Drosophila melanogaster: one gene and its partner. The protein of the gene in region 1 interacts with the protein of each later gene in a pairwise test. Each region holds a gene or a part of one and is shown on either strand. Other genes may lie near its edges. The genes, in order: CG1138 and scramb2.

The links.
Region 2: the proteins of CG1138 (region 1) and scramb2 interact in a two-hybrid assay, tested with the Drosophila melanogaster proteins (one large-scale study listed by BioGRID).

What each region holds. Positions count from the first base shown.
Region 1 is NT_033777.3:6,596,110-6,599,963, forward strand, and holds CG1138 (uncharacterized protein), read right to left. Parts: upstream 1,914-3,854; 5' UTR 1,828-1,913; coding exon 955-1,827; 3' UTR 516-954; downstream 1-515.
Region 2 is NT_037436.4:3,043,293-3,048,379, reverse strand, and holds scramb2 (scramblase 2), read left to right. Parts: upstream 1-1,567; 5' UTR 1,568-1,628; coding exon 1,629-1,743; intron 1,744-2,163; coding exon 2,164-2,657; intron 2,658-3,248; coding exon 3,249-3,407; intron 3,408-3,510; coding exon 3,511-3,534; 3' UTR 3,535-4,267; downstream 4,268-5,087. Other genes in the region: Sk2 (sphingosine kinase 2), read right to left, coding at 214-1,190; Prx4 (peroxiredoxin 4), read right to left, coding at 4,425-4,475, 4,534-4,939, 4,991-5,087.

The DNA of each region.
Region 1 (3,854 bases):
AAGAAATCAAGGCGCAACAACAGCCTCGTGGTAAATATTAATTTAACTTTGCACATTAGCGGAGCAATGACACTTGACTGCGGAGAACCTGTGGCACCACATCTCGTTGGAAACTGGCCACAAATGTTGGTGGAACACTAAACCCAAACCGCCCCCCGTAGCACCTAAACAACCAACCCCCCCCCCCTCCCAGGGGAGGTAAACCACAGTTATTTGTCTATTTGCCTATGCGAAATTTGATGCGCTGTCTGCTTGTGCTTTTTTTCTCATGGTGGCGATGCTCGCTCGCTGTGTCTCTGCTGTTCTGGTCCTCATTATCGTAAATTTTTATGCTAAATACATTTCGTTGTTGGACCCAAAGATACAAACACCAAAACCGAAAGCGACAAAAGAAAATCCTGACCCTGGGCGTCAGAATTGGGATGCTCTTTTAAAAATGGACCCAAATTAAAGAGGACAGTTCACCCTTAATAAGTAGTAAGAATGCAAAAAAAGTATTGAAAGAAATGATATTTAATGTAAATATATTTAAAACGTAATAGATACAATTTCTTACATATATCAGTTGCGTACAAAATATATATACATATATGTATATACATATAGAAATTATAACATTTTTATATTATTTTTCTTTTTTGGCCTACAGGATGCCGAAACACATCGCATGTAAGAAAATACATGCTCTTCCTAGTCAAATGTACATTAGGGTACCACCATTTGTGGCAGATGCCGTCCCGTGGATGCGACTCCTCCGATGACCAACATAATCAAGGAATTCGCATATGGAGGGCCGGCCCGTGGATCCTGACAAATTGAACAATTTAAAGAGGGCTTTGTGGGTTTATTGTGGACGAGCTAAGTAGGTCTGTGTGCCGGTGATACAAGAGCTTGGGCGGCTCGTGGTGCCGCCTTGAAGTAAGCCGAATCGGAGTTCGAAAAAATATAAAAGTATTAAAGGTCTGAACGAATGGATACACAGGAATTTTTCACGTTCTGGAAGATTTCACATTTTTTGTTATTTATCACGCTTGAAAGATAATCTTGCAAATTTTCCGCGGCTGTTTTTAAAGAGATTGTCACCCTAGCGGCTTCCTTCCGAAAAGGTTTGTATTCACTCTTTAACATCTGCTTTTTAAGTTGAGTTGTTATCATCTCATTACTTTTTTCTATAAATTCATAGAACTCCCTGCCAGTATACTTATCTTGGTCCAAGAACCTAAACCGTTGAAGACATAGTCCTTGATGTTTTTCGAATTTGAGCTTAAAGGAGTCTAGTTTTTGAATTTCAATCTGCAACTGATCCCCTAATTTCTTGCTTCTGCAGTATTCATCCCGTACCAGTTTTTTGGCCAGATTGGATGATCTTCGGACGGATTGCATCTGAGTCAGTTGGTGCTGTAGTTTATGGCTTGCAAACTTCAGCTGAAGAATTTCGGGATGAACTTCCTTTACATTTGTCAAAAATATATGATCATCCAGGCAGGGATCTATTTTTGGGCATTCCGGTATATTGGTACCTAGTTGGTAATTGAGTCGATTTACGCGCCGCTTTAAGCGAAACACCTCATCGTAAATATCTTCGAGTTCCAGATTGCTTTTCTCGTTTGATTCTTCTAGAACTTCCTCAGCGATCCAGCAATCTTCGGATTGCAAAACACTCTGCATCGTGCAGTGAAACACTTTTTTTGGCCCGTTATGTTTGAATGCGAACTTTGATTGTGCCAGTTTCTTATCATTTGGTTTAGTGTTTTCCATTTTACTTATTCCTGCTGCCTTGCACGATAAATTTTGGTCCACTGATTGCAGTATTGGTAATGAATTCATCTTGAATTCATTCCTCCAAATTAACCAATATCCAATTAACTGTGAACTTCAAAACGGAAACTAACTCGGTACACAACGAGCACTTCCAGTGTTTTCAAATCATCTAACACAAATCTCAATGAAGGCTTAGATAAAATATCGTATATATCGATCTATCTATGGGTTTGTTCGATCTTTTAGTTGGGTACGTGCAATTATTATATCCTTTTTCAAAGCGTCCCTTAATTTGTAGTTTTAACTACAACTAATGCAGTCTTCAACGCAGATATATACGCAATATATAAAAATGTTATCGGCAAGAAAATCCACTGAAAAATTTGCTCAACTCCCATTCACGGAATTTCAAATCCTAACAAAAAGCCTGCTTAATGTGAATTTAAAATACCAAAATGAAGACGGAAAAAGTTGGGATACTATACTGTCCCAAATAAAATAGCAAAAACATAAACTTATTTATATATAAATACAATTATAAGGAAAATACATACTTATGTTGTTATTTAAGCCAGGTTCTAGACACTCTGAACTCCAAAAATGTAAGAAGAGTTTGGATGCAGTGTGCACTCAATGGGTAAGCTCACATTATTGAATAGATTTTGCGGAAGGCAGAAGCTTTCCTTTTCACTGAATGACAGCGGAAAATGAAGTGAAATCTAATTAAAACCCTTTGCTAAAATCACAATTGTCAGCGAAAGCTCACGCACACCTGCTCGCAAAACTCACGAGCACACAAACACTGACACAGACAGATGGACAGACACCGGCGATTCCCATACGCAAACAAATAGAGGATCCGATTCTGAGCCCGAGTGGGGCGGTCCTGGCAGGTGAAAAACAGACGTCAGCTGTCCAACTACCCGAATGCGGAATCTGGTGAAAACAGTGCAAAAGTTTTGACCAGAAATAAAAGAAAGGCGAACTGTACTCGGCTTTGGAAGCCACCACCACTTAGTGATGCCAAAGAGAACCTGTGTTTGTAAGATTATTACTAGGAAAACCAAACTTGAATAATACCAATAAATATACAGGAAAGACAGGACAAATCCAATTTATGTTACATGTTTTGGATGTCTACATCACCCATGAAACTCCGCGAATCTAGCCATTAGTTAAATGGCTTAATAAAAATTGTTTATGTTTATTAGGGTAAATCATTGACAGTTTCATAATTTGATTGTAAATGATGGTAATCGGTAGCTTACAATAAGCTGGCTCACCTTTTTTTTTAAGATTTCTTAGGATAGGTAAGTGCCATCTCTGATTTGAATCTAGATGCCACGGGGTGAGGGGCACATAACCTCCAGGAGCGAATAAAACGCGCTGTTGCACACGAAAAATAACAAGCTGCGTTGGTCAATTCATCGAATGTCGGTCAGGGCTGCCGCCAGGGAGAAATGGATTGGGCAATGGGCACTGGGCAATGGGAAGCAGGAGCCCGGAGGTGGGTAAGACCACCTGGGCGGAGGTCCATGCAGGGGGCGACATAAAAGTTTCACACCCAGCCATTTGGCCATCAGTGTCCAACAGAGCCGTTGGGCCGGAGTTGCTGTGTTTGAATTAAAAGAAATTAGTTTAGTTATGCCAATGCTCCCCGGGCTACGCTATTGAGTTATCGGCCAGGCAGGAGTGGGACAACTTGGTGCCGGTGACAGGAGGCAACTCGGATGGATAAATTGCAAGTTTTCCCTTACAATTTTGAGTGTGTGCTGCTTGTCCTTGCGTGCCTGGAATTTCAGAAAAAATAAACGCTTTGCGTGTTGCTCTTCTGATGTCGTTTAACCATTATGTGGCATGAATTTGCCATTTTCATTTAAATGCTGCTCTTGGCAGCGAGTCAACTCGTTGGCTTTTTAGCGACTGTTCTGCATTCATAAGCAGCAATCGTATATATCCTGCGGAATGTACTGAAATTGTTGTTGGATTTAGGTCTAAATGTATACAAAACTAGTATTCTTATTTGTTAAGCCCTGAATAAATTTAATTTTTAAATTGCATAAATTGCAGTGCAGTGAAATCATCTGTAATAC
Region 2 (5,087 bases), on another chromosome or scaffold:
AGTCTGACGTCAATTTAACTTTAAGGGGATATCCCCACTTGCAAAACAACAAAACCATTTGACACGATAAGAAAACTACTTTTGCTTATGAATGTAATCTAATGATAAACTGCATGGCTAGACGCTGGAGGGATTGTTTTACACGAAATATGAAGATCCACATAAGTCAAAAGGGGGTTTTTCCTAATGAAACATGAAACAAAGATAACATACTTGTAACAATGGGCAATGGAGCGGGCCAATCCATTTCCGGAGCCGCAAGGAATGATTCCCAGTGCCAGATGAGGCAGGACGTGGGCCCAGTCCTGGCGCTGCAGCAGTCCATTGACTATCTCGTGGAAGAGACCGTCTCCGCCGACAGCCACCACGCAGCACCAGGCGTCCAGGCACCTGGTGCTCAAGAACTCGATGGCAAAGTTGGAATGCTTGGTTACATACAGGTCGTAGGGCACCTCGGCCTCGTTGAGCACCGGCGTCACGTGCATGTTGAAGACCTCACGAGCGTCACCGGAACCGGATTTGGGATTCAACAGCACAAGCACTCGACGGCGTCGCTCATCCACCGTCGGCGCCACAAAGATCTCCTCCAGCGTGCGATGCAACTGCCAGCGAAGGGATCTGTACCAACGATCCGCCTCCCTCATGTTGTCCTCGAAGGTGTCGAACGACCGGAAGCGCAGAGTGAGCACCGTTCGCTCCCGGTGCAACTCCGACCGCAGGCTCCTCTTCTTCAGAACATAGGCAAAAACGTAGAGAAACGCGCTGACATCGCCGCCATCCGAAGGAATATTATCCCGACTATTGGTGCTGCATTTGCTTGGTGTGGTGGCAGGGCGATGGTGATCGCCGGACGCCGAGATGGCTGGCGAATTGGGATTACCGGAGCTGCACGCACAGGCGCCCGACATCGCCAGGCGCCGGCTCTTCTTGGGCCGCATGCAGCGGGCACCCACAATGTCCGATATGCGGACATGTTGCTCCTTAACAATGCTACCGCCCGGCGACTCCCGCTGCAGGGTGAATCCTGTGGCGTCAAGGCGCACCCGAAATACGTGGCTGCCCTTCTTGCGCTGGCTCGTGTAGAAGGTATCGCTCACGTCGTGGCCCTCATCCGCATCCTGCGTTCCCGGGGGCGTGGCCCTGGAACTGGCCGAGCTCGGGCTGGTGGTCTTATCAAGAGATTCGCTCATTTCGACTGGAGATTCGGCTGCCAAGCAGCATGTTTCAGGTCTTTTGTGTCCAGGCTTTTATGGATCGCTTATCATCCAATCATAGCCGCAGTGTTACCGTCGGTGGCAGGCGCGAATATACCAACTGGCACAAATAAACTCAAAATTCTTAGAACTTAAAGAGGCTAGCTTAAGGAAACTATTGCAATACAATGCAATAATACAAATGAATCCACAAAAACGTCAGCTCATAACAAATTTAACTTGTCACTGCATTGAGTGCTGAAAGCTTTTTGTTGATATTTTTCTGTGTTCGAATAAATACCAAAATATATGACAGAATATTTCGTACGGTGCATTTGCGTTGCATTTTTCGGCGTTCGCAACGCGGTCACCCTGCATTTAGTGTTTTGTGAACTGTTAAAGAATCCGATACGAATTTAATTGCTGGGAATAACAATGATGCAGATGAGCGAGTACAAGGTGCTCCCGCAGAATGCACCGCAGGACGAGAATGGCGCAGTGGTCCTGCAGCCGCAGGCGGCGAATGTTGGCAACAATGCCAACGGACCTGGTGCGTAGCGATGGACATATATGGATTTGTCCACTGTTGAATTCCATCACTCGGATGGACCTAGTCGGTTGCGCGCGTCTGTGTGGGCTAGTGGGCGTGTGCGAAAGGCGGAAATGCCGTCGTCTCTTTCTTGGCATTTAGTACAGCAGCGGGCATGGCAATAGCACCCATAGTTATCTATGTAAAAAAGATATTTTATAATGTACCAAAAAGTGAAGTGATTCCAAGTCAATACGTAAATACATATTGTTTAAAATATTAGTTTATGTTAAGAACTGCTATCACTGGCCCTAATCGCCTGACCGCCATTGTAGCTATGCTAATTTCCTTTACCCATGCATAGATATCGGAAAAGCACTTTATGCATATAGATAAATATAAATACATAGGGAGCTAATCCGGAACAACGCCCCATTGCAGAAAACTGGATGTCGATACCCGTGGGCATGCCCAACTGCCCGCAGGGACTGGAATACCTGACCGCTCTGGACCAGTTGCTCGTGTCGCAGAAGATCGAGAAACTGGAGCTGCTCACCGGCTTCGAGACGAAGAACCGCTTCAAGGTGAAGAACTCACTGGGCCAGAATGTGTACTTCGCGTACGAGGAGAGCGACTGCTGCACCCGCAACATGCTCGGCCGGTCGCGCCCCTTCGAGATGAAGATACTGGACAATTTTCAGAACGAGGTGCTCCACCTGTACCGGCCCTTCAAGTGCGACATCCTCTGCTGCTTTCCCAGCTGCATGAACGCCGTGGAGGTGTCGGCGCCACCCGGCCAGGTGATCGGTAGCGTTGAGCAGGTCTGCACCTTCATGCGGCCCAAGTTCAACATCAAGAACACATGCGGCGATACCGTCCTGCAGATCGAGGGACCCGTCTGTCCCTGCAAGTGCTTCAGCGATACCAACTTCAAGGTCAGTACGCAGCCAACAAGTGGTTATTCTTGGCTCTCGATCTCGATTCCCAATGCCCAAACAAGTGTATACACACACAGCAGCGGTCAGCGGATTAGCTTTAAATTCTTCGGAGGAGTACATATGTATGGTCTTCATCAGTCAAAGACGAAGCTTTATAAAATTCCAAAATGAACAGTATCAGGCGTCCACTTAATTGCTTTTTTAATTATTAAACATTTATAAGTGCCTATATACATATATTCTAAATAATTATGAACAGACAGAAGCGTTCAAATTAATAGCACCCACACTAGTTTTAAATTTTCAATTGTATACGTTATTTAACAGATGCCTCTAGATATAGGAAAATCAATCAATCAATTTATACTTTTTATGGCTAAAATGCACCAAGTGTTTGTGCCGATCTATGAGCCCTTTTACTGACCGCTGCTGTGATCGTACAGAAGCAAAGAGACTGCAGTCCGAGGCAGTGACGTCATGGTTAGCCATGCCTGACTGTCCAGAGCGAGTCAATTAATTGCGATGCCGCGAACTGCGAACCGATTAATGCGAAACGCAAACATCTCTCGCCCCTTTAACCGCGCACAGGTATTGAGCGCCAACAACGAGGAGATCGGCAAAATCAGCAAACAATGGTCCGGACTGGGAAGGGAGCTGTTCACCGATGCGGACTACTTCAGCGTCACCTTCCCCCTGAATCTGGATGTCCGCATGAAGGCGCTCATATTCGCAGCGCTCTTTTTGATTGTGAGTATATCAGTATATCATATATATCACTGAGTGAAATAAAGCATATGCCAGTGCTATATACTCGTTTCCCTTCATTGATTTGTGTTTGTCTTAATTCCAGGACGCGGTTTACTACGAGCAGTAGGCTGTATGATGAATCGCATTCTAAAGGAACAAACGCCCAAACATTATAATCGCCGACTGCTTTTTGGTTCGACGTGTTGCATGGTCATAGCTCTAAGAACTTTTTAACCCCTTATTTGATTAACGTTTCCGGGAATCTGAACAGTGCAACGCTTTGATCGATACGGAATCTCCGCAGCAAAGGAATCTCCCGCACAACTTGGATCTGAACCGCAGTTGCACCTTCGTTATTTTATGAACCTCGGTTTTGGCATTTAAAGCTCACCACAATGAAGCACTTACTGACAAACGCACAAAACGGAAAACAGAAAGCAGACTACACACGAAGAATCCGACGAGAACGAGTGCCTTATGACGTCCTAGTTATTGTCGTCGCCCCCGTCCCGTTTCCCCAGATTTATATACCTCGACAGACCTAGCTTTGTTGTACGCATAGGTCGGAGCACAGGATAACTTAATTGCAACCATGGCGTACCTAACTAATTTACTATTACCTTTTACCTACTACATATTACATATTACATATATTTTTGTATGAAACTAATTGCAATCGAATTGTTACCCATTAGAGTGGCCTAGTGAGCCAGCTTTCAAGGCATTTTGAGATCGAAAACATCTCCTCCTTTTTGGTACCGCTCCTGTGGCGCCGCGCAATTTTCATCACCTTCACATGTACTTCATGAATTTATTTATATCTCAGTTATGCTGTAAAATAAACAAACTATGTTTTGTACAAAGCAAATGCGAAATATTCACAATCGGTGGCATTGCGGATTTGGATTTTCTGTACAGAGGACTCTAGCGATTGTTCGTTTGCATCGTGATTCAGTCGTGAACATTAGGAATGTAACTGGGCTAGGCTACTAAGGTAATGTGCATCTCTATCTGTCCCTAGTTGTTCTTGGCAAAGTACTTCGTCTTCTCCTCAGGATTGGGAACGATCTGTAAAGGTAATGGTATCAAAAAGAATTTACCTAAGGCAATGCTTCAAAAAACCTACCGTATCGGCACCTGGCCGCCAACCTGCTGGGCAAACCTCTCCATGGGTGTCCGTATACTGGAAGGCCTGAACCAGACGAATAGTCTCGTCCACAGAGCGTCCCACGGGCAAATCATTCATGGTGATCTGTCGCAGCACTCCGGTCTGATCGATAATGAAGAGACCGCGCAGCGCATGACCGCTGGACTCCAAGTAGACTCCGTAGTCCTTGCTGATCTTATGCGTTAGATCGGAGAGCAGTGGGATCTTCACGTCGCCCAGGCCGCCCTCCTTGCGCGGCGTGTTTATCCAGGCCAAGTGGGTGAAGTGCGAGTCCACGCTGACGCCAATCACCTCGGTCTTGATCTTCTTGAACTCGGCGATGCGGTCGGAGAAGGCAATGATCTCCGTTGGGCATACAAAGGTGCTAAAATGGCAATGAGAAATGCGATCATACTAAATGTAAATGTAAACTTACAAGTCCAGTGGGTAGAAGAGTAGCACCACATATTTCCCTAGATACTGGGACAATGATAGCTTCACAATCTCCTTATTAACCACGGCGGTGCCCTCGA